Diceros bicornis minor: one gene and its partners. The protein of the gene in region 3 purifies or fractionates together with the protein of the main gene of each other region. This does not show direct contact. Links are inferred from orthologs where the notes say so. Each region holds a gene or a part of one and is shown on either strand. Other genes may lie near its edges. The genes, in order: CUL4B, DCAF8, COPS6 and KLHL42.

Evidence for each region.
Region 1: the proteins of COPS6 (region 3) and CUL4B purify together in Homo sapiens (affinity purification with mass spectrometry; 8 studies listed by BioGRID and IntAct, counting the BioPlex papers as one, with this or other methods). This does not show direct contact. The link is inferred for Diceros bicornis minor from reciprocal best matches to the Homo sapiens genes COPS6 and CUL4B.
Region 2: the proteins of COPS6 (region 3) and DCAF8 purify together in Homo sapiens (affinity purification with mass spectrometry; 3 studies listed by BioGRID and IntAct, with this or other methods). This does not show direct contact. The link is inferred for Diceros bicornis minor from reciprocal best matches to the Homo sapiens genes COPS6 and DCAF8.
Region 4: the proteins of COPS6 (region 3) and KLHL42 purify together in Homo sapiens (affinity purification with mass spectrometry; 3 studies listed by BioGRID and IntAct, with this or other methods). This does not show direct contact. The link is inferred for Diceros bicornis minor from reciprocal best matches to the Homo sapiens genes COPS6 and KLHL42.

The regions. Positions count from the first base shown.
Region 1 is NC_080781.1:111,043,229-111,051,100, forward strand, and holds the start of CUL4B (cullin-4B), read right to left. Parts: upstream 3,013-7,872; 5' UTR 2,998-3,012; coding exon 2,970-2,997; intron 2,216-2,969; coding exon 1,691-2,215; intron 1-1,690.
Region 2 is NC_080743.1:64,933,421-64,940,795, forward strand, and holds the start of DCAF8 (DDB1- and CUL4-associated factor 8), read right to left. Parts: upstream 3,015-7,375; 5' UTR 2,921-3,014; intron 2,915-2,920; exon of another isoform or gene 2,598-2,914; intron 1,911-2,597; exon of another isoform or gene 1,797-1,910; intron 1-1,796. UniProt on the Homo sapiens protein: May function as a substrate receptor for CUL4-DDB1 E3 ubiquitin-protein ligase complex.
Region 3 is NC_080765.1:5,681,851-5,688,806, reverse strand, and holds COPS6 (COP9 signalosome complex subunit 6), read left to right. Parts: upstream 1-3,943; 5' UTR 3,944-3,964; coding exon 3,965-4,028; intron 4,029-4,259; coding exon 4,260-4,385; intron 4,386-4,602; coding exon 4,603-4,734; intron 4,735-5,008; coding exon 5,009-5,097; intron 5,098-5,200; coding exon 5,201-5,263; intron 5,264-5,578; coding exon 5,579-5,626; intron 5,627-5,706; coding exon 5,707-5,821; intron 5,822-5,913; coding exon 5,914-6,006; intron 6,007-6,101; coding exon 6,102-6,202; intron 6,203-6,302; coding exon 6,303-6,443; 3' UTR 6,444-6,563; downstream 6,564-6,956. UniProt on the Homo sapiens protein: Component of the COP9 signalosome complex (CSN), a complex involved in various cellular and developmental processes.
Region 4 is NC_080756.1:35,317,255-35,324,288, forward strand, and holds the start of KLHL42 (kelch-like protein 42), read right to left. Parts: upstream 3,003-7,034; 5' UTR 2,841-3,002; coding exon 1,969-2,840; intron 1-1,968. UniProt on the Homo sapiens protein: Substrate-specific adapter of a BCR (BTB-CUL3-RBX1) E3 ubiquitin-protein ligase complex required for mitotic progression and cytokinesis. The BCR(KLHL42) E3 ubiquitin ligase complex mediates the ubiquitination and subsequent degradation of KATNA1.

The DNA of each region.
Region 1 (7,872 bases), on a different chromosome or scaffold from region 3:
CCGAACCTTCCTAATAATGCCCTGAGGAAGGTATTATTACGCCTATTTTGCAACTGTGGAAACTGAGGCTGGAAGATTCATTTAGTAAGGCTTGCCCAAGGTCACCATAGCTAGTCAATGGCAAAGCTGGGATTCTAATCCAGGTCTGTTTGACCCCCCACATTTATGCAGCATCTACAGAAATGGAGAGAAACATCTTAACTCAGGTTTTGACTTAAACTGCATTTCTGAGCAGAGTAAAATTTTAAAAAATTAAAACATCCAAATGACTCCAGAACCTATGTAGCATTTTCAGAATGAAAAGGAACATCTTAATCCAGGCTTTAGTTTAAAATTCATTGACCAGCAATGAGTACTTTTTTTAAATGAAAACATCCAAATGCCTTAATAATGTGTTTTTATTTTAGGAGGGAGAGAAAAAACCCAAACAAACAAAATCTCTGAAACCAGTATGCAAATGCAATTAGGATCACAGCTCATCTCTTTAAAACTCCTTGGCTATTAAATCGATATATTTTAAGTGAAACAGTGAATACATTAGTCAATCAGAATTCATATTTACTTCAGAAAAGTCTACTATTAAATCAGAAATATTACAACACTCTTGAGATCCTGGGGATGGGAGAGGAGTGATAGAAAAAAAATGGTTAAAAATAACACTATAACCCCCTGCTTGAGACAAAATAGAGCACATTCCTGATTTCCACACTAATGTTGAAAACACAAGCATGGAAAATCTAATTTTCTCAATACTAACATCTAGCCACAAGGCACTTATCTGGTAAATATTACTTTAGTTCATTCATTTACTTCTCCACTTAATAAACATTTTAGCATCTAATACCTGCCAGTTAAGGGTGTTGAAAAAGTTAGTCAGAAAAACAGAAACACAGTCAACGGATAAAAAGTAATTCAGCTCAATTACATTTTTTTAAATTGCTGATTTTATATTTGTATCGATGCCTTCATAATACTCTCAATCACATATCTGAAACACAAAAGGAACAAATTTTCCTAAAAGCTGCAGGTTAGTACTTTAAAACCCATCTTAGTGATAAAAAAATAGATACAGTACTTGATCCTATCTTTAGACTAGTGGTACACAGTTACTACTTCTGTGTATACACATTATTTTTCACTGCCAAACCCTACCTTTGGGAAGAAATGCAGAGATCATAAACATTTTTCTCCAAATACTGCTTCCATAATGAGTGTCAAGAATACAGTATTCAACATTATAAATCTAACTATAAATCTTATTTGAGCATGAAAATGTCACCATTTCTACCTGCATTTCTAGGGACTGGAGAATGTGGCCTACTGAAGCATAAAAATAAAAATCCCAGCAGTGCCAAGGCTCACTATGCACCTGAAATAAATAAACCTCTTTAGAATACAAATTTCTCACCTGTAAAATCCGGATCAATCATACCGATGGTCAATGTTATCAGGAATGACAGATTAGATACAATAGGCTGAGACAGACCTCAAAATACTACACACAAACACCCAGTGCATACTTCAGCACAAGGATACAAACCACCCCCCCAAAAAAGGACCTCCCTCTGCCTCACTGATTATGCATAAAACATTAGGCCACCTCTATGCTGTTTAATATATTAACATAGAGCACGTGACCACTCAAGTGTCAAATCCTTAGTAGGTGATTATGGATTTTGGCCTTGGTTACCTTTAAAGTTCTTGATCACTAACTTCTTAGCAGAGCCAGGCTTGCTGTTAGCAAAGCTAGAGGCGGTGGTAGATTTGGCTAGGCCGTTTGCGTGATGCACCGAAGCCACAGAAGAGATTAATATACTCTTATTTTTAAGTTGCTGCTGCTGAGATGTTGCAGCAGTTGGTGAAGAGGAGGAGGAGGAGGAGGAGGATTCCTCAGCCATCTTCGCATCAAACCCTACAAACTCCAGGTTGTCGTCAAAACGCAGCTTCTTCTGTACCGGTACGTGGCTGGAAGCAGCCACTGAAACCCCCAGGCAGAAGGACGAGGTTGAAGGGGATGCCGAATCCCTGGGTTGTAAAGGAGGAGAGGAAGAGGCGGAATCAAAGTCTTCTCTCTCGTTACTACTGTTACTGCTGCTACTGCTGTTTAACTTTCTCTTCTTAGCAGAGGTGGGCGGAGTGGTGCTGGTATTACCATCAGTGGCAGATCTGACCTCCTGAGCAGCAGCAGCAGCTGAGGGATTGGGGGAAGAAAAACCTGTTGGAAACATGAAAATAGCGGGGTCAACAGGCAGAGGAGCATCAAAAACCTAGGTTTATATGCCTGCGTGCGTGTAGGAGAGAAGGTGGCAGTGCTAGAGGGGGAAGGGAAGAAAGAAGAGAGGAGAAACACAGAGGACGAGAAGGAAAGTGAAGGGGGGGCTACACCGGGGGAATGGGAGGGTTTGGGAAGGCGGATAGGCTGACACCAGGAGTGAGCAGAACGAGGGGGGAGAACGAATGAGGAGGCAGACAGGTAAACGGCCGTGCCGTCCCCCTCCCCTGCTTTTCGGTCTCTCTCCCCCCTTTCTGCAGGAGCGACTCAGTGAGTCTGTGAGGCGGCAGCTCCTCCTCCTTTTCTCCCTCTCTCTGGGAGGGGAGATGCCGGGGCTGGGGGGAGGGGGAAGGGGGAGAGGACCGGGGCTTGTTATTGTCAATAGCACAAGAGGCTAAAGATGGCGCCACTTCCGGTCACGCGGCCGCGAGGGAGGGGCGGCGTCTGTCCCCGGGAGTGGGGGGTGGAGAGAAGCACTGCAGGCGCCGGGGGGCGGGGGAGCTGGCTCGCGGGGAGGCGATGGGCAAGGGGCGGCTAAGGCGCCCGAGACGCTCGTGCTCCTTCGTTCGCTCTGGCTCTCCCTCCCCCTTCCTCACCCGCTCCCCGTCCCTGGCAGCACTCTCCTCACCCGGCCCGCCGGTAACTCCCACCCCTCCTTAACGGTCCCGCGGGAAGCTTCGCGCCGCAACGCCCTTACCGGAAGTGACTGGGCAGACACTTTTCATAGCGCCCAGATCCCGAAGCCCCCAGGTCCGCAGGACTTGAGCGGGGGGGTGGGGGAGGGAGAAAAGGGGGGGAAGAGAAGTGGAAAGGGAGGAGGGGGCGGGCCTCCGGGCACCCTCGGAGCTCCTGATTGGAGCTTTCTGGACGTGAGGCGGGCGGGTGAAGGGGGGGTGGCGGGAGAAGGAGCGGGAAGGAGGCTGAAGGGGAGGGGCGGTGGTGACGGTGAGGGGCGGGGTGAGCTAGCTGGGAAAAAAGAGGAGGAGGGAGAGAGGAAGGGAGGGAGTAAAAAGTAAGGGAACGGAGAATGGAAACTTTGAAAGAGATAAAGGAATAAGGAGGAGTTGCAAGGCGAGGGGAGTAACCCGAAATGGAAGAAAATATAATGATGCCATTATGCCTCCAACTAAGGAGGAATGTCATGTTAAGATAGGAAAAGAAAAAGAGCTTAGATGGAAAGAAAGGGAGTTTTTGATTCAGTTGATCTATAAGTTGTTTCTCTTTTATGTCAAGGACACCACTGACCCAATACTGAATAGGGCCTGAATTTTGATACCTTTCTCAGTAATATAGCTGCAAATCCTTTTCCCTTCCTACCAGGAGCATTTTCTAAGATAGCTGGCCAGAGTTAAACGTGCATTTTAAGGCCAAGAAACAGGAAGGTAACTAACACGACCCCCACCCCACACGACACAACCCCCAGGACCAACCCCAACCCCGACCCCCATCAGTCATTAACCTAGTAATTTACAGACTAAACAAAGCCACTTCTTTTACCAAATCTCAGTTTATACACTTCTTTGAGACAAAGTGTATAATATTGGCAATACAATATTGGCAAAAGTCAATGTTTTCTACCAATGTATTCCATGAGCCCAAATTTTAAAATAGATTACTCACGAGAACAAACCTGTAAATTGGCAACAATAAACCTTGTAAATTCCCTGTTGGGAGTTTTTATTTAATTCAAAGGCATTTGGGAGGGGTGGGAGAACACAATGTCAAATAAAACTAAATTTGCCAACCTGTTGATCATTGTAACTGCAGAAACATTCAACAAGCAGGTATTGAACGACTTTGTATGCCAGACACTATACTAGATGCCTGCCATTGAGAAGGCAGTGGGGGAAGATAGTTTCAAAACTAATTTCCATAACAGTACTATAACAAATGTACAAAGTGCTATGGGAACAGGTGAAACAAGAAATTTGGGGGAATTTTGGAATAGTCAGAGTTTCACAGAGGAATTTATATTTATGCTGGGTCTCAAAGTAGGAATTGCCAAAAAGACAAGAGGGGAGAGCATGAAAGGCATTCTGGGAAGTGGAAACACGGGCAAGGCAGGGAGTTGTGAAAGTGCCTGGCCTGTTTGTGGACATATGGAAAGTGCTGGAAAGTAGGATGTCTGGTTGGAAGGAAGGAAGATGAGGCTTAAGAGTGCCTGGCACACAAAGCCAAAAATTTTGGAGTCTACCCTGTAGGCTAGGGTAGGCAGCATGGAGATGAGCCAGCAAGCTGGGCTTTTAAAAGCAGGGGCGTGACAAGATTGTGGGTGGAGTAAAAGCAGTTTGTATTGTATAGCTTGAGATAGACAAATCAGAACGGTAAGAATAAGTCAATATTCTAACTTTGTTTACACAGACCCACTTTTTTGTTGTTTGTCTTGAAAAGTCCTCCTAGACTTTAAAAATGTCCTCCTAGACTAGTTAAAATGCAGATCCTCCTAGAAAAGGTACCACCTTGGGCCACTATCAGCTTTGTGCTGTTTGATGACAACAGGCAGAGAGAAAGGCTCTAATGGCACTTAGGACCCTAGGCTACAGAGAATGGAGATAGAGGCCTGAAAGGGAGAAGATTGACTCCTATCTGTTTTCAATGTACCCTATTGTTCTTGCTGCCTGAAATGAGACTGTAAACTCTTAAGGCCAGGGAAGGTGTCCTAAAACATTAAACCCTCCTTTATTGTGTCTCACATTTCACACGATGCTGATCAACTGTGTAAATGCAGAGTAAATACTTATTGAATTGAATATTTCATTGAATGAGAATAAAATAATGCTGTGCCTTTATAAGGGAGGATTAACTGGCTAATTTTCAGGATTTAATGAACAAAGTTGTTCTAATTCATATAGTTATATTCCTTAGAAGGGTGTATGGATGGACCCGCTGAGGACTTTTCAAGACAAAAAAAAAAAGTGGGCCTTGTTCTAATTCATGTAATTATATTCCTTAGAAAGGTGTATGGAGTGCTAGCTATTTTAAAAATTATAAATATTAGTGCAACTGAAAGGGAATGGGCATAAAGATAAAAAGAAAACTGCTTTTGCCATACAAAGATAAACTTTTATACTAACGTAAAGGATAGCTGAGTCCTGTTAATATTCAACTACATTCTAGTAATAATAGCTCCCAATCTGACATGATTATCTAAGCCCTTCAGTCTTCCCAGGTAAATGTTAGTTCTAAAAGCACAGACCCTTGGCTCTTGAGCTCTAGCTCACTTTAAATGACCCAGGGGCCTAATCTACTATTTAAGTTTTCCATGAAATATCCTTAAGTGAATTTTGTGGAAAAAATATTTTTTCTTTTTTTTTTCTTAGTGATTAATAATCTTCCTTTTGACATTTTAAAACCTCATTTTATTTTGTGCCAGGTGAATCGTCACATATTTAGCACATCTTAATATGGATATATAATTTAATAATTAATTTTAATAAATAATTTTAAACATTTAACATTTACATTTTGTGGCACAGACCAACTTAGTGTCTTCTTGGACACTCAGACCAATTTAAAAAGACGAAAAACCTCCCATGTTGCTTTGTAAAACATCTTTTACATCAAGAATCAACTAATTGGGGCTAGCTAAAACATAAGCATATGTTCTATACACCCAAACATTTGCCAACCAACATTAAACACATTCTCAACATTAAAATACATTTTTCAAGGTTAGACTCACTGAAACCACAATAATCAAGGCATGCACATAAATTATGGCCATTATCAGACTAAACCAGATTGGACACTTAACATATATTACATATATAGAATCTTTCATCTTGTGAGTTCAACTCATACCTTAGAAACATTAATTAAATTTTACAGTGCTACCAGATGAGGTATAGTTATTATTGGCCTTGTTTTAATCAAGTAAATAAATCAATCTGTAGCTATTTATAAAGGTAAATATATACACATAAAAGAAGAAATACAAAGACAGAGGACTAGTTTTTCTAATGTCCATTCCCCTATTTCTGTAGGTCTCTGTCTAAAAAGTATAACCTGTTTCGCTTTGATCACGGGGACTCCCCGGCGGGCTTGTGTTTGGGTCTTCTCCAGACATCTCAGAGCAGGAGCTTGTTGATGGACAGACACTCTTGGAAGCCTTGTTATTCATGTGTGGGAATTTCCTTAAAAATAGGAGATACTGCTTGCTCAGGAGAATACCAAAGATGATTCTGCAGCAAGCACTATTTAAGAATGTGTCCAGAAAAGACAACTGCTGAGCAAATGGTGGTCCATGGTTCTCTATCCACTCTTCTGAAGGACCATCTTTGAAGCAGGGCAACACTGAGAGGGCAAACCAAGCGGTGGTGAGATATTAACCATTATATCATAATAAGGGCTTTGTGATGCGAGCAACAGCAGGGGGCAGCTATGGGGGACTGGGGAGGCCAAACTTAAGCAAACATGACCCCACTACACTATGTGAATTCACCCTTTGCCCATCCTGGAGTTGCTTTATAAAGCAAAAGGAACTTAATAACAAATGCTGAACCTATGGTGCTCAGTAAAATGTAAATAAATAACACAGATCTCATATTTTTAACAAAATCGTTTATCTTCTATGTAAAATTATCTCATCAACTGGAGACTTACTGACTCAGGTACATCAGCCATTTGAGGACTTAGCACCTTAGCTCAGAGATTTTTATCTACTGTCATACCAGTGAACCATCTGGAAAGCAGATTTAAGGCCTTAACTGTTAGGGCCAGGCCATTTTCCCTAGGGGTTTGGGAATGGGGGACCGGATCAGCCACAGGTTACTTCTTCCTTTGGTACTGCCAAGCACCTGCTTATTATGGAGTTGCTGGGCCTATTTTTAACCTTCTGTTCACTCTATCAATGACCCCCACAGTCCCTCCACCCCCACCCTGCTTTAAGGTTTGATCTTCCAATGGCATTCAGCTTTTCTTTTTCTCAAGAGTAGGGCCAACTTAGGTTTAAATCAGCAGTTCCCAACTCTGACTGTACAACAGACTGTATGACAGAATTGCCTGGGGAGTTTTTTTAAAAAACCTCTTTGCCCAGGTCTGAACCTCATCCAGCTGAATTAGATCTCTGGAGTAAGGCCTCAATTATCAGGATTTTTAAGAATCTCACAGGGTGATTCTACATACCTCCAGGGTTGAGACCACAGCTGTAGTGAAGTAAGTACCTCTGTGATTTGAATGGGGCTGATAAGCCTTTGTACTCCCTTTAATGCCTGAAATTTCACAATTTATTCATTCCCTTCGATAAAATAGCCTCCTTCTCTAGGAATCCTTTTTTTCACATGAAAATTAGCCAGAGAGACTTAGTTCCTGACCCTTTAAGGTGAATGCTTCCTGGGAACAAAGGATAATACAAAAGTCCTAAGTGCCTGGAGGTAAACAGAACTAGGAGTAGGTATTGCAATGGAAGGGGAGAAAGTACATTTTGTTGACCTCACAATATTGCCTGGGGCCAATCCTGCTTTGCGATGACTACGTATTTAAGATCTAGTCAAGTTTGACAGCTTATCCCTACTGCCAAAATCATGTTAAAAGGAATTTTAAATATTTTTTATAAGCAAAACAGAGAGCAGACATTGGGAATGTAGATTTGGAGCTATCCA
Region 2 (7,375 bases), on a different chromosome or scaffold from region 3:
TTACTAAGATGCTCCAGCTGAGGAGATGAAATCAAAAACTCTGCATTCCTAACTCCCTAGCCCAGACTTCACTTCATAAAGAAAGGAGACCTTTTCATGGTCTAGTTCTTTGATAATCTATTGATGAGGATCACTGTGCAGCCCAACAGCTTGGAAAAATGTATTCCTTCCATGGCAAAAAGAAAAAGGCATAAGAGGTAGCTGGAGCAGAGGTGGTAAATAACATTGAAGCAGGAAGGGAAAGAATTACAATACTTGTGTCAATTCTGATCAGATGTGCTAATAGAGAGACCAAGAGGAAGGAAGCAATGAACGAAGGAAACTTATTGACGTTTAGTTTAAGAATACATTTAGAGATAGACATACACCGACATCTAATATTCTGCTGTCCTCTGGTCTTGAACCCCCGCCAGACTGACCTGAATCATGTTCAGAAGCCAACCCTAGGTAGGCACCCACAAGGCATACATCTAAGCTGACCAATTAAAAATCAATTTGAAAAAAGAATCAGGAAAACATGTTTGAAAGCAAAATGCAAAGAAGTGTAAACTAATGTATAACATTCCAAGCCGTGTCAATGATGTGTAAAGAAAACAGAAAATAGCTTTTAGTGTCTATCGTGTGCTAGACATAATGTAAGAGCTTTATACGGGTTCCCTCACACAATACTAATAACAACCCTGGGAGCTAAGTGGTATTATCTCACTTTTAGATGTGGAAATTAAGAGAGAAGTTTAAGTAACTTGCCCAAGGTCACAAGGCTAATAAATCTTAGTAGTATTTAAACCCAGGTCTGCCCAGCTCTAAAGACTGTACTTTTCTCTTTATATCTTGCTGATACACATAGATACCACCCATAATCATCTTATTCTAGTTCATAATGAGCATTTTCTAGTTGGGACACTGTGTGGAATAAAACTCAACAGCATCACACTCATCCTTTTCCTACTACAAATCATAAAGATATTAAGAATCAGCCAGGCCTACCTTCTAGAGCCACTCAGCTCCTCTGTCACATCCCATGAACCTCAACCATAGCACTATTCTCAGCTACCAGAAACCCAAGAGTCTTACAAAAATTACACTTACAAGTATGTTCTGACTCCCTCTTTGGCACTGGCCCATGCTGCTGAATGCACAGGATGATTTCTCTGCTGACCAAGAATTCTTCAGACCAGCTATAAAAGGGCAGCCACTATTTTTTTTTCCACTCAAAATTTACCACTATGTCCTGAAAAGTTGGAATTCTAAGGAGGACTGAACTCAGACACTAACTAAAGGCAGCATCACTCATCACTCTCCAGCTTTTAGTGACAAGGAGCTAAATATTCTCCTCTAAATAATAAGGAATAAGAACCCAAAACCCTGAAAGGGAAAGAGACTTGATTTGACAAAAGGCTGAAGAGAACTCAGGCAAACTAATTCCAAAACTACATTGGAAGTACTTTCCCTTCCTGTACTACGAAGCTACATTGCAGCTTCGAACAATGTAAGAAACATGATCCACACAAAGGCAAAACACAAAGCAAATGAATAAAGAGGGAGACATTCATTTCTAGGCTTAACTGGAGTTATCTGAAGATAGACAGCAACAGTTTAAGACAGAAAGTCAAGATGCCCACAGCCAATTAAACTTGTAAAAGTAATTTAACCAGAGTTGGAACACAGCCAAGAACAATGCCCCAACTCTTTGGGAAATTGTGTAGGGATTTTATGACTTCAGTGGTCAGCACTTGAGCATCAGGATAAGGTCTGTCTTGGACTCAAGAATTTAAATGCCTTCAACTCCTACTCACCTTTCCTCCTTTATCACTGAAGTAGGGCCAGGCTGAGCTCCTGAGAAAATAGGTCTGTAGATTCACTGAAGGACTGAGACAGTTAAAGTTTAAATGGCAAAGGTGTCTCTTCTACTAAACATAAAAAATATTTATGAATACATTTTAGTATTTTTTAGACCTCAGAACTATTTAAAGCAGAGTAATTTATCTAATTCTGATTACTCAATAACCTACAAACATAGTTACTGAAATAAAATGAATCAGGCAAGTCATCCCCCAGTTCCACTAAAACGTAAAAGTCATTTAAAAGGAAAACCTGAATCTTTTCAACGCTAACCCAAAACCAAACCTCTGCAGAAGCCACAGAGCAGGGGGGAAATCCCGGAGAGAATGTGATAGCGCTACTGCCGGTTTGTTTACAGAGACTCCAGCAACAATCATATGAGTCAGAAATTCAAGCCACCAGATGCTTTCCAACGAACAGGGACCAAATGAGACCGTACTACGGTGTCCTGAAAGATTTGGGGGTGAGGGGAGGTAAACTAAGAGAATTATATTACAAAGGGTACAAGACCAGACGGCAACAACTGACTCCAGGGATCTTGGACCTCGGCCTTCCGTACAAGGTGCTGGGCCCGAGAACTCGGGATGGGGGAGGGGACACATTGCGCGGCGGCCCTGAGGTGACGAGGAGACGCAAGGCGAGCTGCGTTCCCCTAATCTAAGGGGGAAAAAAGCACACACAAATGGGTCACCCGACGAGGCAAGACGTCCCTGTGGATTGGGGGGCAGGCCCTTGAGGGCAACCCCAGACCTGACCTGAGGAAAGGGCAACCAGTCCTCCCGGCGGTGACTCGGGTCAGGGGAAGAAGACTTGAGCCGTGGGAGCTTGGGAAAGGAGTCAAATCTATCTTGAGGGGGTACGGGCCACGGGAGAGGGGGGCAGGCCAAGCCGGAACGAGACACGGACCGGGTAGGTCAAGGGGGGGGGGTGTCCGGCTGGGGCAATTACAAGCACGGGAGCCGGCGAGGCTCAGCAGCCTGCTTCCCGTCTTGGGTCATCCTTCTGCCAGCGGCTGCTCCGACTGTTCCAGGCCCAGCCGCCCCGTCCGCTGCCGCCACCAACGAAGCCGCCATCTTACACTGGCCAGCGGCCGCCACCACCACCGCCTCCGCTGTCTGCGCTTGCGCCTGCGCTGCCACACTTTCCGGCCCCGTTTGCGACGATGTGCTGGAGAAGACTGAGGGAAGAGTGGTCGCGCGAGCTCTCGGCTCTCAACCCTCCTCGAAGGACGCATATGGGGCGGGGCTTAAGGCCAACGGCAAACAGAGAGAGGGCGCGTGCGCATTACCGAAGAGGCAAAGTTGTTTCTGTAGCGTTTGAGGGGCTCGCTGCCCTCGTGTTTCTCAAAACATATGAGAATTAGGGGCCTTTGAAGGTTGTGGTGGAAATAAACTTCATTTCTAACGAGTTGGCAGGCAACCTCTTGGGCGACCTCCATTTTTGCCCCGTTTTTGAATACTGGAAACAAGCAGTCCTTGCCAGATTTCTTCTGAAAACCCCATTTCCTTTGAGGACCTTATTTTCTTAAATGGTTTCTATAACTTCGAGACCCGCTTCCCCTCAAGAGTCTCCAGTTACCCATTTTTAAAGAAGGAATTCAGAAGCTTGAGGTGCAGCTAAACTATTCAAGAGGCTCTTTCTCCAAAGGGGGTGATGTACACTCTGCTTCGTTCCGACATCTAAAGGCAGTGTAGAGAAGATCACTGGAAAGGTTACTCCCAGCTGCCAAGCTGGGGGATTTTTGACCAGAAGGCCAGGGTGCAAGAGTCTGACACTTTCTCATCTCCTCTACCGCTACCATCCTATTATAAGTCATTATATATTACTTAGACTACTGCAATAGACACCTAGCTGGTTTGTCTACTTCCATTACTGCCTTGCTAGTTAAACATAAAGCAGTCAGAGTGACCTTTTAAACTATAAGGCAGGTCATATTATTACCCTGCTCAAAATCTCCAAAAGCTTCTCATCATACAACAAAAATCAAATGATCACAATGGCCTCCAAGGAAGACCCTACACCATCTGGCACCTACTTCTCTGATTTCATCTCCTCCTGCTGCCTAGCTCTGCTCTAGCCTTATTGGCCTTCTCGCTGTCACTTCAGCCAAAGCATGGTCCAGGCCCAGGGTTTCTGCACTTGTTCCCTCTTCTTGGAATGTTCATTTACTGGATCTTTAGTAGACTTACTCTCTCCACTTAATCACATCTCTACTCAAATGCGACTTTCTCACAGAGGCAGCTTTGACTATTCCAACTAAAATGGTACTCTACACCACCATCCTCTGTCCTCTCACTCGGCATTGTATTTTTCATAACATTTTTTACCTATAACATTTAACCTATAATTATATATTTGTAATCTAACTATACTACTAGAATATAAGCTCTGTAAGGGCAGGGACTATGTCTTTTTCATCTGTAACCCCAATACCTAGAAGAGGGCACAAAGTAGCTATCTAATGCCCTACTATTCTGTTCATTCACTCCATCAACAACTACTGAGTTCCTACTACATGTAAGACCCTGTTCTAGGTACTAGAGCTGCAGCAGAGAATAAAACAAACCAAGATTCCTGCATTCATAGAACTTATTTATTACTGCAGGAGTTGGGAGTAGGGGGAGGAAAGGGACACACAGACAATAATATTAAGTTTTGAAGAGTACTGTAAAGGAAAATAAAGCAGGGTAAAAGTGGGTTACCTGAGTAGGTGTGCTCTTTTACATAGCAGGTTCAGGGAAGGCCCCTCTGCTGAGGTGACATTTGAATTTGAAGTGACAGAGTGAGTCATACACACTGGGGAAAGAACCTTCTAGGCAGAGGAAACAGCAAGGTAAAAAGACCTGAAGCTTGAGTGTGCTTCATGCATTCAAAGAACAGCAAGGAAGCCAGCATGGCAAAAGAGCAGGTAGGAAATTAGGAAAAACATGATGGGAGCCAGATCATTTATGGACTTAATAGACCAAGGAGAGGACTTTGGATTTTATCCTAAGACTGTTAAGAAGCCACGGACAGTTTTGAGTAAAAGAATGACATGATCTGATTTATAAATGAAGAGATTCACTCTGGGTGATTCTTTGAGAACTGCCTGCAGGAAGGCAAAATAGAAGCTGAAAGACCAGTTAGGAAGCTATTGCAGAAGCCCTGCAAGACTAGTGTTGCAGTGGAAATGGTAGGAAGTGGTTGGATTCAGGATGTACTTTGAAAGTGGCAGAGTTGATTTGCTAATAGACTGAATATGGGGTGAAAGATAAAGAGTCAAGATATCCCAGGTCTTTTGATTTGAGTAAGAGGATAAATAGTAACGCAATTTACTGAGATAGAACTCCAGGAGGGGGAGGGGGGTGAAGTAGGAGGAGTTTTTTTTGAAAAATGTCCAGTTCTATTTTAGACATGTTAAACTGGAGATGCCTGTTAGATTTCCAAATGGAGCTACTGAGTAAACAATTGAAATATGAATCTGAAGCTCATAGAAGAAAGGACAATGGGTGGTATAAATTGGGAAGTCATTAAGGTATAAATGGGTTTGGAAACATGGAAGTTATTTAAGACCTTGACAAGAGTGATTTTAGTGGAGCTATGAGATAAAAGCCTCCTCCTCGTCACCTGGTTTCTGGGCTCACTGCTTTGTTGGACTCATTGCTACTATCACCAAGTCAATTGCTATTACCACCAAATCTTCTTTTTTATTTGGGCTTTCCTATTGCCTTTGAAGTTGTGATGATCATTACCCCTTCTAGATATTCAATCCCACTGATTTCTGTGACACTATATTCCATAGTTCTATTTATATCTCTCTGACCATTTATTTCATGAGCTTCTCTTTCTATTCATTCTACATGTTCTTCCAAAGTGATTTTATCCATTCTTACAGTTTAAACTACTATCCACATAATGATGACTTCCAAGTCTTTATTTCCAACCCAGGCTTCTCCTTCAAGATTCAGACTCACACACCTGATAGCTAACGGCACTTTTTTAAAAACAGCTGTATTGAGATGAAACTCACATACCACACAATTCACTCATTTAAGGTGTACAATTGAATGGCTTTTAGTACATTAACAGATATGTGCAACCATCACCAGTCAATTTTCAACCATTTTCATCACCTCACAAAGAAACCCAGTACCCTTTAGCTTTCACCCTTCTATCTTCCCATCCCACTCCAGCCCTAAGAAACCATTAATATACTTTGTCTCTATAGATTTCCCTATTCTGGACTTTCACATGAATGGAATCATATAGTATGTAGTCTTTTGTGACTGGCTTCTTTCACTTAGCATAATGTTTTCAAGGTTCATCCATGTTGTAGCATGTTATCAGTACTTAATCCCTTTTTATAGCCAAATATTATTCCATTGTATGGATATACCACATTTTGTTTGTCCCTTCATCTGTCGATGGACATCTGGGTTGCTTCTACCTTTTGGTTGTTATGAATAATGCTGCCAGAAACATTCATGTACAACGTTGTATAGACGTATGTTTCATTTTATTTCTCTTGGGTATATTCCTAGGAGTGGAATTGCTGGGTCATATAGTTAACTCTATGTTTAATCATTTGAGGAATTGACAGACTGTTTTCCAAAGCAGTTGAACCCTTTTACATTCACACCAGGCGTGTATGAGGGTTCCAACTTCTCCCCATCCTTGCCAATACTTGATGTCTGATTTTTAGATTCTAGACATCCTAGTGGGTGTGAAGTGGTATCTCACTATGGTTTTGATTTGCACTTCTCTGATAACTCACAATGTCAAGCACCTTTTCATGTATTTATTGGGCATTTTTGTCTTCTTTGGAGAAATGTCTCCATTTAGATCCTTTGCCCATTTTTAAATTGGGTTATTTGTCTTTTTATTATTGAGAGAGTATATACTATAGATACAAGTTCATTATCAGATATATGATTTGCAAATATTTTCTCCCATTCTGGGGTTTTCCCCCACTTTTTTGATGGTGTCCTTTGAAGCACAAAACTTTTAAATTTTGATGAGCTCCAGTTTATCTATTTTTTCTTTTTTTGCTCATGCTTTTGGTGTCATATCTAAGAATCTTTAGCCAAATCCAAAGTTATGAAGCTTTTACATTTATGTTTTCTTCTAAGAGCTTTATGGTTTTAGTTATTACTTTTAGGTCTTTGATTTATTTTGAGTTAATTTTTGTATATGGTGTGAGGTAAGGATTGAACTCATTCTTTTGCATGTGGCTATCCAGCTGTCCCAGCACCATTTGTTGAAAAGACTATTCTTTCCCCACTGGATGGTTTTGGCACTCTTATCAAAAATCAGTTCACCAGACGTGTGGGTTTATTTCTTAATTCTATTCCACTGGTATCTATGTATATTCTTGTGCCAATACCACATTGTTTTGATTACCATTGCCTTGTAGTAAGTTTTGAAATTGGGAAGTGTGAGTTCTCCTTCTTTATTCTTCTTTTTCAGAACTGTTTTCTTATTCTGAGTCCATTGTGATTCCACATGAATTTTAGAATTAGCTAGTCAATTTCCACAAAAAAGTCAGCTGGGATTC
Region 3 (6,956 bases):
GCTACAAGCCATCAGTATGGACAGGGTGCTGGGCACAGGGGTGGCTGAGGTGCCAAGGACTGCAGGAATGCAGCAACATGCATCGGTGCAGAAAGAAAGGGTTCCTTGGGCTAGGGCATTTACAGGATGCCAGGAAGTACCACCTGACCCCACGAGGGAGGAGGCAGTACTAAATCGTGAGCGCTGACCCTAAAGTACAAGGACACAGAAGGAAAAAGGCTGACAGTTAAGTCTCCCCTCTGCTGCCTCCAGCATGCCCTGCAGGCCAGCTTCCCTCTCTGCCCTGCGCCCGCAGCCAGGGGGATTAGAGCGGTGTCCTGATGGTTGTTGTTGTAGCCCCTGACAAAGATGAGTTAGATTTCTTGGTCCTTGTTCCTGTAGGGGAAGAGGCGCCTGAATTCAACTGATGGGGTTGGACAAGGTTTGCAGTAGAGAAATGAAGCTAAAGTGATCTTGTGTGGAGCCCGATGTCTTTGCTGCTTCTACACCTGAATATGTCGCAGGAACTGATGGATTATATGCTTGCACTTTTCTAGTCCTTTAAGGGTTAGAGGGGATTTTCCCATTCAGGGACTGCTGTATGTAGAGGGTGACAGTGGGACTCACAGATCACTCCCCAACCCGCCTCTCTTTCCCCTCCCGGATGGTCCAGCATAAACAATAAAGAATACGAGGTTAAATCACAGCTTTTCTTAAAAACTTGATTGCTGCTGCCAGTGTTCGCAGAGGCCATTTCTCAGTGCAATAGCGCCGCCTGTCGGATGCAGACACCCGGTACACCTGCTACTGAAGAACTCCAGGCCTAGGAGGCTTTGTAGCTCTCCAGCCTAGTACCCCCATTTTGGGGTGAATCAAGTCAAACCCGATGATTAACAAGATGGGAAGAGCCTAAAACACCTCGCTAGTCAAGTGGAAATGGTATGCTAAAGAGGGCAGTCAGCGTGACCCTAGAGGAGTTTTTCATGAAAAAATGGCAGTTACCGCTTTGGGAGAAATCACCTAAAGCAAAGACATGGATCAATAGGTCCCTCAGATCTCAGAGGTTCCCCTAAATGCCTGGGCTTTGTTCACTGATGGCTTAGCTGAGTTGAAAACTGCTGGGGCCCATTGGGTGGCTGCTGCTGTCCAGCCTCAGGGCCAACTATACAAAACTGAAAGTGGACATCATCACTCTGCTCAGTGGGCAAAACTCAAGGCCATTCTCAGCCCAAGTCTGGCCAGCACTCCCCTTGATGAACCTGGTTACATTTCACTGACTTGGGTTGTTAGCCAATGGCCTGGCTGCTTGGTTCGCCACTTGGAAGATGACAGATATGGAAAATTAAAGACACATCCTTTGGGGCAGTGAACTATGCAAACACACCTTATCTCTATCTGACAATTGGGTCATTCATGTGGATGCTCATGGTGGGCACCTGGTCTCTGATAAGACTGACTGGCACCAAGCTGCTGATCAAACTTGCACCTTCCAGAAGCTCCCTTCCGCTCCTGGTAAACTGACTCCAGCGAACCTTTGACACCCTTTCCCTAGAGAGGCTCCCCTGGTGCTGGTGTTTTTGTTCCAGTCTGATCTGCTGACTCAGGCCACATCATTATGCCCTGGAAACTAAACTGGTCATGTTTTAGGGTTTGCAGACCCTCTACAGTCTGACATTGGTGCGCCTTTTGTCACAAAAGCCACCCCAAAATGGGCCAATAGTCAGGGTGTTGGATGGACAATCCACACCCCCTACCATCCACAGCATCTGGTTGCCGAGCACTGGAATGGCCTCCTCAAAATCAGCTCTACCTCCTTCACCTCCTCCTGGTCCACACACCTTAGTAAGGCAGCCTGGTCACTGAATGTGGCTGTCTCCTCCTGGTCAGCTACCTCTTGGGTAATGATCGGGATGAAAGGAGTGGGGAGCTGTCCAGACTTATTTTGAAAATTAAAGATTCTGCCCTGACCATTCCTTGGGATGATTCTTTTTTTTTTCTCCTAATGGCTACCACAGGCCAGCCTGGTTGGTAGACCCTCTGGGTACAGCCCGGCCAAAAGAGAGCCTAGGGAATTCCAACTTAAATCTGGTCCAGCCACAAGGATTCTCTTTTTGGACTGACATCGTTCTAGATCGTGAAGACAATGACCACTTGATTGAAGACACTGCTCTCCAGCCCCCCTATAGTGGCCCGCACATGCTGTGGCAGGCTGAACAATGGCTCCCAAAAGATATCCAGGTCCTAATCCTGTGATATGTCACTTTATAGGGTAAAAGGGATTTTGCAGATATGATTAAGTTACAAATCTTCAGATGGGGAGATTATCCTGGATTATTCCAGTGGGCACTAAATGTTATCCCAACTGTCCTTATAAGCAGGAAATAGAGATTTTACTACAGAAGGCAATGTGACAATGGGAACAGAGGGACTTGAGACTTTTTCAGTAGTTTTTAAATACAAGGCACTTTTAAGAAATGCTCAATGAGTTTACTTCCAAGGCATGTATAATCAACGGATTCAACTTCAAAGTCACCTTTAAATTTCACAATAACCATTGCTTTATGAGTTGTATAGTTGTCTCAACAATGTTTCAAAAGCATTTGAAACAACAGAAAGACAAAGGAGTTCTTTAGTGTGTGAAACAGCAACGCAAACTATCAACTTTATTAACACCACAATAATTCTTATCTTTATTTTAGCCTTCAATCTAGCTGACAAGCATTAAATTCCTTAGAAGCTGCCTACCATCTAACAGAGATACGTTTTTCTGACTTCATTTTTCCTAAGAGAAGTGAGGCATATATGCTTTTCTTCCATAACCATCTCAGTTGGCTGGGAGGTTTTACACTGGGAATTAGAATGAGATAAACTGTTTCTTAACTTCCCCTTGACCGGAAGACCTCTCTCCCAGCAGGATTTCTCAGGCCCCTTCCTTTGAGGGTTGCTGGCCCTCGAACTTCCCTTCATCAAGGCTCCTAAATGGAGAGATTGCTTAATTCACATAAGTCACCGTTATCACCAGAAAACATCTCCTGGTACCTGCTAGTTCTGGGCACCAGAATAGGCTCTACAGGATCAGGACACAGGTCTCTACCTGCTTTCTAGAGCTTACACTTTGGGTGGGGTATAGACAGATACTAAATGAGCCAGCCAGCCATTTAGGGGCAGCAGGAGAGGGTAAAGGCAGTGCACACAACTTGCTCGGGTGTAGGAGAGGGGAGACGGCTGGAGTGGGCTAGGTTTACCAGAGGGGAGTTTTGAAAGACTGATGGAGATAGAGAATAGAGACGGAGGTTGAGAGGGGTTAGAAAATGCCGGGGACGTTCCCAGTACTGAAGGTAACGCCAATGCTTAGAAGGAGGAAAGATAGGACATGCAGACGGAGCCACTCAAGACCAGGCTCCACCCCAAACTACTCATTCATTCATTCACTCAAAAATTATTCAGGTGCCCGAGTGTGAGGTACCGTATTGGTCACAGGGGATACAGCGATGAACACGACAGAAGGCCCTTGAGTGGGGCCTGTGAAAGGAACAGACGTGAAGGCCAGCGTGGCTGCACACGGGGACCAAGGGCAGGAAAGCAGAGGCCAGGGCCAGCTGCAGGCAGGGCTAGATCATGCAGGGTCTTGCAGGCCGTGGTTAGGAGCTTGGATTTTATTCTGGGGAATAACATGACATTGCATTCACTCTGCAACAGCCTTAGAAACTAGGCAGTCTTATCCCAATTTTACCGACGAGAACGGTAAGATTGGGGCAAGGTGGGGTTAGTAATTTGTTTAAGGTCAGCCGCAGGCGAGAAGCGGTACCAGGGTCTACGAAAATCTGTTGGCTCTGGGGCTTCGCGGGCCTCGAGCTTACCCCGCCCCGAGTCGCCAGACCAGCCAGCCGAGACCGGGCTGAAGGGGCCGCCGGGGCACTGAGCATGCGCCGCTGCCGTACGGAAGCCGGGAGGGGGGCGGGGCCGAGCGCCGGGCGCGGGGAAAATGGCGTCGGCTGCTGTGACGAACGGGACCGGAGGGAGCAGCGGGATGGAGGTGGATGCAGCAGGTAACGGGCGCGGGGGCGGCTTCTGGAGATGCCCTCTGGGGTGCGTCAAGGCCTTCCTTGCGTCAAGACCTGACTCCTCCGAGAAGTCAGGAGGGCGGGACGGCAACATCGCTCCCTGGGATAACTTGCGGGAGGGATGTATGGCTCCGGCTCTGCTGTCCCCTACTGTCATCTCTGGGGAAGAACGTGGGGCCCGGACTCTCACCCTCCCTCCTTTTCTTCCACCCTTAGTAGTCCCCAGCGTGATGGCCTCCGGAGTGACTGGGAGTGTCTCAGTCGCTCTTCATCCCCTCGTCATTCTCAACATCTCAGACCATTGGATTCGCATGCGCTCCCAGGAGGGGCGGCCTATGCAGGGTGAGTGTTGGGCATAATTCTCCAACTTCCTTTCCTTGGTCATCTCCCTCAAATAGTGGTCTCTTCCTCTTCCTTTCCTGAAGCTAGTTCCCCCTCTCCCAAATCACCGTTTCCCCAGTACTTGGTTCAAACCGACCTCAGACCCTCAGGCGATAATGGTTAGGAAAAAGTTTCAGGATTCCTTACTCTCACCTCTGTGTGTCGTTCTCTCCCCCAGTGATTGGGGCTCTGATCGGGAAGCAGGAGGGCCGAAATATCGAGGTGATGAACTCCTTTGAGCTGCTGTCCCACACCGTGGAGGAGAAGATTATCATTGACAAGGAATATTATTACACCAAGGAGGAGCAGTGTGAGAGGGGCATAGAAGTGGGGGAGAGGAGTGGGAGTCAAGAAAAAGCAGAGTGGGGCAGATGGAGAGGGTTGGGAAGAAGTAAACAGAAGAGGATGAGAACGGAGGAAAAGTCAAGAGAGAGTAGCTGAAAAGATCTCAGAAAAAGAAAACATTCTAAATTGAGCCAGGATTTGGGGGAGAGGGGAGAAACTGATGAAAATATACCAGGAGCTTTAAATAAAGGAAGTATCGTTTAAAGCAATACTATGTTCTCCTGCCCCTTCCTCTCCAGTTAAACAGGTGTTCAAGGAGCTGGAGTTTCTGGGTTGGTATACCACAGGGGGGCCGCCTGACCCCTCCGACATCCACGTCCATAAGCAGGTATACATGCTGCCACACATGCATGCTAGGGGGGACAGAGAATAGAGGATGAGGGGAAGAAAGATGGGCATTGACACTTGTGTCCATCTTCCCTGTCTTCCAGGTGTGCGAGATAATCGAGAGCCCCCTCTTTCTTAAGTTGAACCCTATGACCAAGCACACAGATGTGAGTAATACTGACCCCACGCCCACTTGTCCTGCTCTTCTATCACTGTGCCTGTTATTTTACTGTATGCCATCTCTATTGAGTCGAGTCTCCATTCTGCCACTTAACCAGCTGTGTGACTTTGGGTTAGTCATTTAACCTCTACACTGCATTTTCCTCGTGTGTAAAATGGAGATAATCCCTACTTCACTGGTCCTTGGGAAGATTTACATGAGAAAATATAATGTGAAAGGGCCAGGCCCAATTTTTGTTTCATAATATAGGCTCAGGTGCATTTGATGTTAGTAAGAGCTGTTCTCCGTCTCTCCTTTACAGCTTCCCGTCAGCGTTTTTGAGTCTGTCATCGATATAATCAATGGAGAGGTAATGCCCTGCCCTTGGACTCGCAGAAGGAAATTGCCCCTGGCGTTTCAGGCTTTTGACTCTCCCTGCGTGCCCTGTAGGCCACAATGCTGTTTGCTGAGCTGACCTACACTCTGGCGACAGAGGAAGCTGAACGCATTGGTGTAGATCACGTGGCCCGAATGACAGCAACAGGCAGTGGAGAGAACTCCACTGGTAATGGAGGCTGGAGGGGCTTCCTTGGAAGTGGGGGTGGAAGGTGTGGCCACATGCCTTCTCAACCTTGGCCTGTTCTCGTCCCCATGCAGTGGCTGAACACCTGATAGCACAGCACAGCGCCATCAAGATGCTGCACAGCCGCGTCAAGCTCATCTTGGAGTATGTCAAGGCCTCTGAAGCAGGTAGGACAGGTGTCTCCCTGGCACTTTTACTTTTCCTCTCCCTCCTGGGGAAATGACAGCATCCACATTAATGCAGCCTCTTTTTGTGCTTTTAGGGGAAGTCCCCTTTAACCATGAGATCCTGCGAGAGGCCTACGCTCTGTGTCACTGCCTCCCAGTGCTCAGCACAGACAAGTTCAAGACAGACTTTTATGATGTGAGTGTAAAACCTAGGATGGGGAAGTGGGGTTTATGCGTAGCAGGACATGGGACTCAGCTATTCCCCAGGGCAACTGGTTCTGTCTTTTCCCTCTCAGCAATGCAATGACGTGGGGCTCATGGCCTACCTTGGCACCATCACCAAAACATGCAACACCATGAACCAGTTTGTGAACAAGTTCAACGTCCTCTACGATCGACAAGGCATCGGCAGGCGGATGCGGGGGCTCTTCTTCTGATGAGAGGGTACTTGAACGAATGATGCAAAGGGGTCAGACAGCTGTCCCAGATGGGAGGCGTGCTCAATTCCCTTCACAGAAACCTGTCATTAATAAAAGGGGAGCAGCCCCTCAGCACCCCTTCCAGTGGCTCTGTCCTCTATTAGGCACCACACAGGTTTCTCAAATTGGATCTTAGAGGCCCTTGGTTCCAGCCTTGCTCCGAGGCCCCAGTCCCTTCTTTATCGTCAGCTCTTCTCCACACCCTTCAGCTTGGGAGCTTATTGCCATTTGAAGTGACCCCATGTCCAGTCAGGTAGACTATCTATTGAGCCAAAGCCTGCCTTCCACCTAAGAGAGCTCTGTTCTGCTCTTTAATGTCTCCTTGTGACATCAACTCACAAAGACCAACTCTGGAAATAAGACAAGTGACTCCTTTCCCAAGCTAAATTGTTTTTCACACACAAAAAGGGGAGTGGGAGGGAGAGGGATATTAAGCACATTTCTATCAGGGACATCTCACAGCCTTGATCT
Region 4 (7,034 bases), on a different chromosome or scaffold from region 3:
TTTATAAATTTATAATATACAAGTATGTCTACAGATGGACATAATTTTTACTCTATAGTTTTTCACATCATTTGCAATTTTTCTAAGCTTGTATTCATACATTACTCAAATACTTGTTTTATCCAAAGAGGACAGAAAAGGCTTTCCTAGAATGAAAAAAAAGACTACCAAGGATTTGTGAAGAAAGAAAAGAAATCTGTGAGGTGTCGTGTTCCAGTCCTGGAGGTAGGGGTGGCGTGTTGAGCACCAATTGATACGGCTGGAGACGTGTGTAGAGGTGACAGACAACCTGCTGGGCCTTCACACCCAATCTGAGCACCACCCATAACTGCTGAACGTTCCTTTATTGCTTCAATTAAAGCTCCTAGAGTTTATTTAAAAATAACACTTCTGATATCAAAATTGAAATATGGCATCATCTCAACAGTGTAAATAATGCACTAAAAAGGGCCTGGAAGAAAATATGCCAACCTGTAGGTGGTTAATGCCTCTAGGAAGGAGGGAATAAGACTGATAGTCTTTCTGCTTCTTTTCCATTTTTTTCAGTTTTCTAGAATAACTATGTACTATTTTTAATCATCAAAAAAAAAAAGAACACTAGCGGCCGGCCTGGTGATGCAGCAGTTAAGTGCTCACGCTCTGCTTCCGAGGCCCAAGGGTTTGTTGGTTCGGATCCGGGGTGTGGATCCTGGGTGCTGCACCGACGCACCACTTGTCAGGCCATGCTGTGGCGGCGTCCCATATAAAGTGAAGGAAGATGGACACGGATGTTAGCCCAGGGCCAATCTTCCTCAGCAAAAAGAGGAGGATTGGCATCGAGTGGTAGCTCAGGGCTGGTCTTCCTCACACACAAACAAAAAAAGAACACTTTCCAAAATGATTTCATATTCTAGTAGAAATAAAGCCAGTGTTCCCCCCTGGCCTGGGGGGACCCTCAAGTCAAGTAAATAGTATGCATAATGGCCTTCCTGTTCCTGTGAAGACTGTCTTTGCCTGGTGGTGAGTGTCCCCACTCCTTGCTCCACACTCCAGGCCAGGGAGCATGGCGGGCCTGGAGACGGATACAGGTGGACCAGAAGAAGGGGTATTCTTGTCGTTTCTTGGGTGACAGTGATTCTTCTCTCCACTTGTGAATGGCTCTGGGCCGTCTTGGGCCCTACCGTCTTAACTTCCTACCACCTCCTCCTGCATCTGCTCTGTGCTCTCGTTCTCCCTTTCCTGGCTCCTTTCCCTACCCCACCCCACCCCCAATCTCCTTCTTTTCTCTCCCTTTCTTGAAGTCATGCAAGTTCATGTTAGGAGGAATTTGCAGGACGGGAAGGGAGAAGGTTAGGGTGGATGGAAATTTTCTAATTCTGTAAGTGATCACCGCCAGGCTCAAGCTTTGGGTCAATGACAATGACTGGCTCAGAAAGAAGAGAGATGCAAAATAGAGGATAAAACATAAGAAAGGCAATCCTATATAGCTAGTATTCATACAATTCTAACGACTATGTCCCGATGACAGATGGGTGACCCGGTGTGGAAGGCTTCAAAGCCATTAACAACAAAAAAATCCCCCAAAGTCAGTGTTACAGGTTACTGCCCAGTGTGTCATTATTATCAGGATCAGATCCTAAAAAATAAAAAAGGTGAAAATAAAAGCAAAATTAAAGAACAGTTTTAAGTATCCTTTTAGGAAACCACAACATCTTTTTTTCCACTGGGATAGAGGCAAAGAAAGTAGTTTGCCTGATGGCGAGATACCTGCAAGGCGCCTACTCAGCTAGTTGACCTCACTGGGGCCTCTTCTTCCTTGCAAGTTCTTAGTTCACTGGGAACTTTGCCAGAGTGGAGGCCAGCCACACTCCTGAAGACGTCATTCCCTCCTCAGCACAACCTCCTGCGATTGCTCAGTAAACATTAGGCGAACGAGTTAATGAACAAGTGAATGAATGAGAAAGAACCAGCGCTCTGCTGGGGGCTTACCTCTTCTGGTTCATGGAGGCCACCTGGAGCCACTCGTTGGTGCTGGGGTTGTAGGAATGCGCGGCGGCGATCTCCTGGCTAGTGATCCTGTACCCGCCCACTATGAAGAGGTAGTTGTCCAGGATGGCGGACCCGTAACCCCTGACATTCACCAGGTCGGGGGGAAGGTTGTTGGCCAGCGGGAACCAACGTTCAGTCATCTCCTCATACCTGAGCATGGACGGGGGCTCCCCCTGGTAGGGGTGAGGGGCCAAGGGTCCCCCCAAGAAATCCCCTAGGGCCACAAGGACAGGAGTCCCAGTCATCCGGGCCTCTCTCAGCCTCTGCTTCAGGCTGACATCCCCCGGAGCTTGGGGAGAAGCCCCCAGGAGGTGGAAGTGGGGCTTGCAGAGCACCTCGTGGAAGTGGACGACCATGAAGCGCAGGCAGGCCTCCTGCAGGTCGGGCAGCCCGTACACCTGCGCCAGGCGGTACATCTCCAGGCAGTTGGTGAGCCGCACCTGGGACAGCAGCAGCTGCAGCAGGGACGTGACCTGCAGGAAGGAGGCCGCTTCCACCAGCTCGGACAGCAGGCTCACCTCGTCCATCTCCTCCTCCTCCTCCACCCCGCCGCCCTTGTCCCCGCGCGGGCCCAGGAGCCAGCCTTCGCGGGCCCCGCCGGCGTTGATGAAGTCCAGCACCAGGCGCAGGCCCGGGGCGCTGAGGCCGCGCAGCTGCTGCACCTCGGGGCCGCCGGCCTCCTGGCTCAGGGCCTCGCGCATGCCGGAGCGGTAGAGCGCGCGGAAGTAGTCGCTCTGCTCGATGAGCTTCCTCTTGCTCACCGGGTAGCAGCGGTCCTCCAGGCGGATCTGCACCATCTCCTCGGCCGACATGGCTGGGGGGCCGCGGGCCGCGGGGCTGCCCGCCAGCTCTGCGCGCTCGCCTCCCCGCCCCCACGCGCTCGCCGGGTTCCGGGTTGGGCGCGCCGAGGGAGGGCGGCGGGAGGAGGAGGCAGGCGGAGGCCGCGGCTCGGGGCCGCGGCGGCGCCCCCGAGGCAGCCCCTCCTCCCGGGCCCGGGGGCGGCGGCCCTGCCCGGCTGCTCTCCCTCAGCGCCAAAAAAGGCCCGCCCGCGCGCCGGGCGTCGGGAGGCGGCCGCCGTCCCCGCTCGGGTTCTCGCGGGCCGCGTCAGCCGGGGAGGGGATCCCAGCCCCCGGCCTGCAGCCTCCTCCCCCGCCGCGCTTCCCGCTTCCGCCCGCGGGACCCCTGCCGCCCGCCGGACCCGCGCGCCGGCTCCCGCGCTCGGGGAGGCTGGGAGGCTGCCGGCCTCCGGCGCAGCGGCTCTGCAGCCTGGCGGGGTCTGCAGCGATGATCGCGGGGGACAGGAGGCGAGAGGAAGCCAGTCTGCTTTTTCTTCCACGCTGCCTTTTGCTGGGGGCGGGGGCAGCTGTGGGAGGATGAAGGGAGTCTGGGGTCCGGGGAGTCAAAAACACATCACATCTGGGATCGCCCATCTGGCCCAGTCGGGCTTCGTGTCCCAGGGGGCTGAGGCACACTGGCCGTCTCTGGACATGCAGGTGGCACCCAGAGGTGATTCTTCGGCATGGTCATTGTGTAGGAGCCATCTTGCAGAAAGAAGGTCCAGCCAGATGGCAGTAGGTTCTGCAGGGCTCAGCGCATGGGGTGCACCCGATGAGAAGAGTTGGGAAGCACAGGAGCTGGTATTTGCTGTTGGGGCCTGTTATCCTCTTTGTGCTATTAAAAGAAAGTCAGAAGGACAACTTGACTAAATAAAATTAGACCACGTGCCTTCTTTTCAAATATTTTCTAACAGCCATTGCTTTCCCTGTTTCAGTTTGGTTGGGCTAGCCATTACGGAATGTTATTTTGGGGCAGAAGGTCTGGCCGCTTTTGCTCATATTTGCCTACAGAGGTGGCTTTTCTTGCCACCCTCATCACCTTCCCCTGCCCCTACCCCCGCCGTCTGAGGACTGCTTAAGGAAGGACCACTTCCCCATCTTCTCTCGTGAACATTGCCAACAGAAAGCTCATCCCAAATAATACAAAGGACCATGTGTTGCTCATGAGATATGAATTAATCCTAGAAATGAGGGACGAAGGGTATTGTTAGGTTACCTTTGAGCAGAAGGAGGGATAGGATTGGGAGGGAGCATAGGGTGTGTTCACTCCTATCTTACATAAAACCCTTGAAAACTTTCTGGGATCGAGATTCAAGAACCAACCATAACAGACCTCAACCTGGGGAGAATATGTGTTTGGACTTTGTTTTTATTATTACAACCTTCAGCTTTCTTTTTGAATGGCAAGTTGTTAAATAAAGTGAAGGGAAAAGTGAAGGAAATACTGGCGGATTTATGACTTGCCTCTTTCAGTTATTTTCTTGGATTCTGTGAAAAACTTCTGGCTTTTCACCTTGTTTCACCTGGCCTTTAAATCATTACTGAAAAAATTCCATTCTCACATGAACCTCTCACACTTCTGCTTTGAATGAGAGTGCAGTCAAGACATTCTAAGGTTCTTGGGGGTTGAGTGACCATGAACTTAACGACCTCTTTGGGAAGGTAAAGTGCCCCACAATCAGTATTAGGCATTTAGCTGGGGGAACTCGTGCTAGGAGGTGCCCCCTGTATCAAAGGGACTTGGACCTGGGATTTATTTGTGTCTCCATCAGCAACAATGCTAGATTCAGTGGGTCAGCCAAGAAGAACAGGCACTTAGTCTCTCCTCCATCCCTTTAGAATCTTTCACTAATGGATGCTTTTGTTTCCTAACCGTCACAGATATGCCTCAGACTAGTATTTTCTTGCCTTTTAAAAACAGACCAAAAAAATCACGCCTAAAGACTGATGTGCATTAGAAAGGCAGTTCACGCACAGTAATATTATCAGAGCAAGATCAGCATGGACAGGGCATCTGGGCTGTTAGTCTGACAATACTGGGCACTAATCTTGTAAGCTTTAGGCCCCCACATGATAATAACGTCATTTAGGATTGGAAGCATCTTAAAAGATCAAATCATTTTAATAGCTCACACAGTAAGCTTTCTGTTAAGCTAGAAATGCAAAGTCAAAGCAATATAAACTTCTTTATTTACAAAAGACCTAAAATAGTATTTCTAAGCGTCATGAAAATATTACTTATATATAGCTGGAGGCATGCTTTTATAGATCTGTTATTGACTGATCATTGAATGATAAAGACTGGCCTTTGTGGTAACTATAATTCACTTCAAGTACTTTACATCATGATCTGTTTTACAAAAGATTAAATTAATAGTTAAACACAAAGTTAGGCTACTTAAGAATTTATGGAAAATATACTTTTTGACCTAGAATGGAAAAAAGCTAAGCACAAGATGTTTATCACAGTGTTGCCTTTAATAATAAAAAATTAGAAAACATAATGTATAATAACAGTAGCTAACATATTTATAAATGTTTATTATTTGTCAGGCACTGCTGTAAGTGCTTTCCGTGGATGACAACACTACTATTATACTATTTTACAGCTGAGGAAGCTGAGGTGCAGAATAAATTTGGGTACATATGTAGAATGAAGTACCCTAGAGCCATTACAGCTTTTGAGGTAGAGACAACTTTCTTTAGAGACATCGAAAAATATAATTTTACACTGGATTTTTAAAAAACAGTTTCTGGAACAGTGTGAATCCATTTATGTAAAATTGTATACAGGTATGTATTTTTTAGAGATTTCTAGAAGGGTGTTTACCAAAATGTGAAGATCGTAAGATCTTGAATAGTTTTTATTTCTTTTTGTACTTTTCTGTATGGTTTGGATTTTTAAAGTGAGTGTCTATCAATTTAATAAAAGCAAAACATTTTAAGAAAAATTAATGACATATTTATATTTCTCAGGCCCCATTTTTAAAAAGAATTTCCAACAATTTTATCAATTGATGAAATGAAAATGTTAAGTATATAATACAATTAGCATCTTTAGAATAAGGATGAAATATTGACTGTTTTGCAGATTTTTTTTAATTTAGTAAATCTATGCTATTACTTCACTACCACTTAAAAATTATTTATCTTTGTTTTTTAGTCCTTCTAATATTCCTAAAACAACTTTACTTCTTTTTGTTTTTTAACAAGCAAAACCAAAATATCTTCCTTTCATTAAAGCATATGGGGCCATTTAAATGAGTTAAAAGTAGTACAGTTCTCGAAATGGCTCTATTTAATTCAAGTTGAACATATTTATGTAAGCGAAGCTTCCATTTATCTCAGTCACCTATATCAGTGTTTTCCAAACATCTTAGGAAATCACCTCAGGCACTTACTTATAAAAATAAGAATTCTGGTTCTCACAAAAACAGAGCTACCGAATCAGGCTCTTGGGGACATGAGTGGTTTTTAAGGTAGAAATCTAATTTTTGAACCCCTCTCAAGAGGGCCCAATTGGAAATAAGTACAATATGTCACTGCATTGCAATAGTGCCATGGTTCTGGGTATTTGATAAAATTTGTACAAAGGCTATAGAGCAATTTTTTATTCAGAGTTGCAGCTACTTTCTGATTTCTGCAATTTCATCTCACATCAACAAGTTTTGAGATGAGATGCTTCTGGGCCGTGAATCTCAGCCCATGATGGATTCCGCCCTCTGGCCCTGCAGTCCAGTTTCTGTCTCTCCTTTTCAAAATACTTGGCTCCAAGAAGTTACTCATTTCCAGACTCAATGTTTATGCAATCACCAAAACATTTGTTTAAGAATTTTAAAGCATGCTTTTACATTGGAACTTGTAGATTCTTTAAAATGCAACTTTGCTCTTCACTTGAACATCATTTGACAGCAGAAGGATTAAACAATTGTAGATTGTTCTATTATCCCTGCAGGGAACATGAGAACTTCAAGGAATTATATTTCACACAAAAGAAACGGCATTTAATGTGACTGAAAGACGTGGAGGTTAGAAGGTTAGAAAGTAAATTTTCTAGTTTATGCCCCCAGAGCATGAACTAATTGAAACAGCTATAGTATCTCATAGAAAAACAGAGAGTAACTTTTGTTCCTCATCTGTCCCTTGCTTTGCCATTTGGAAACTTCTCTT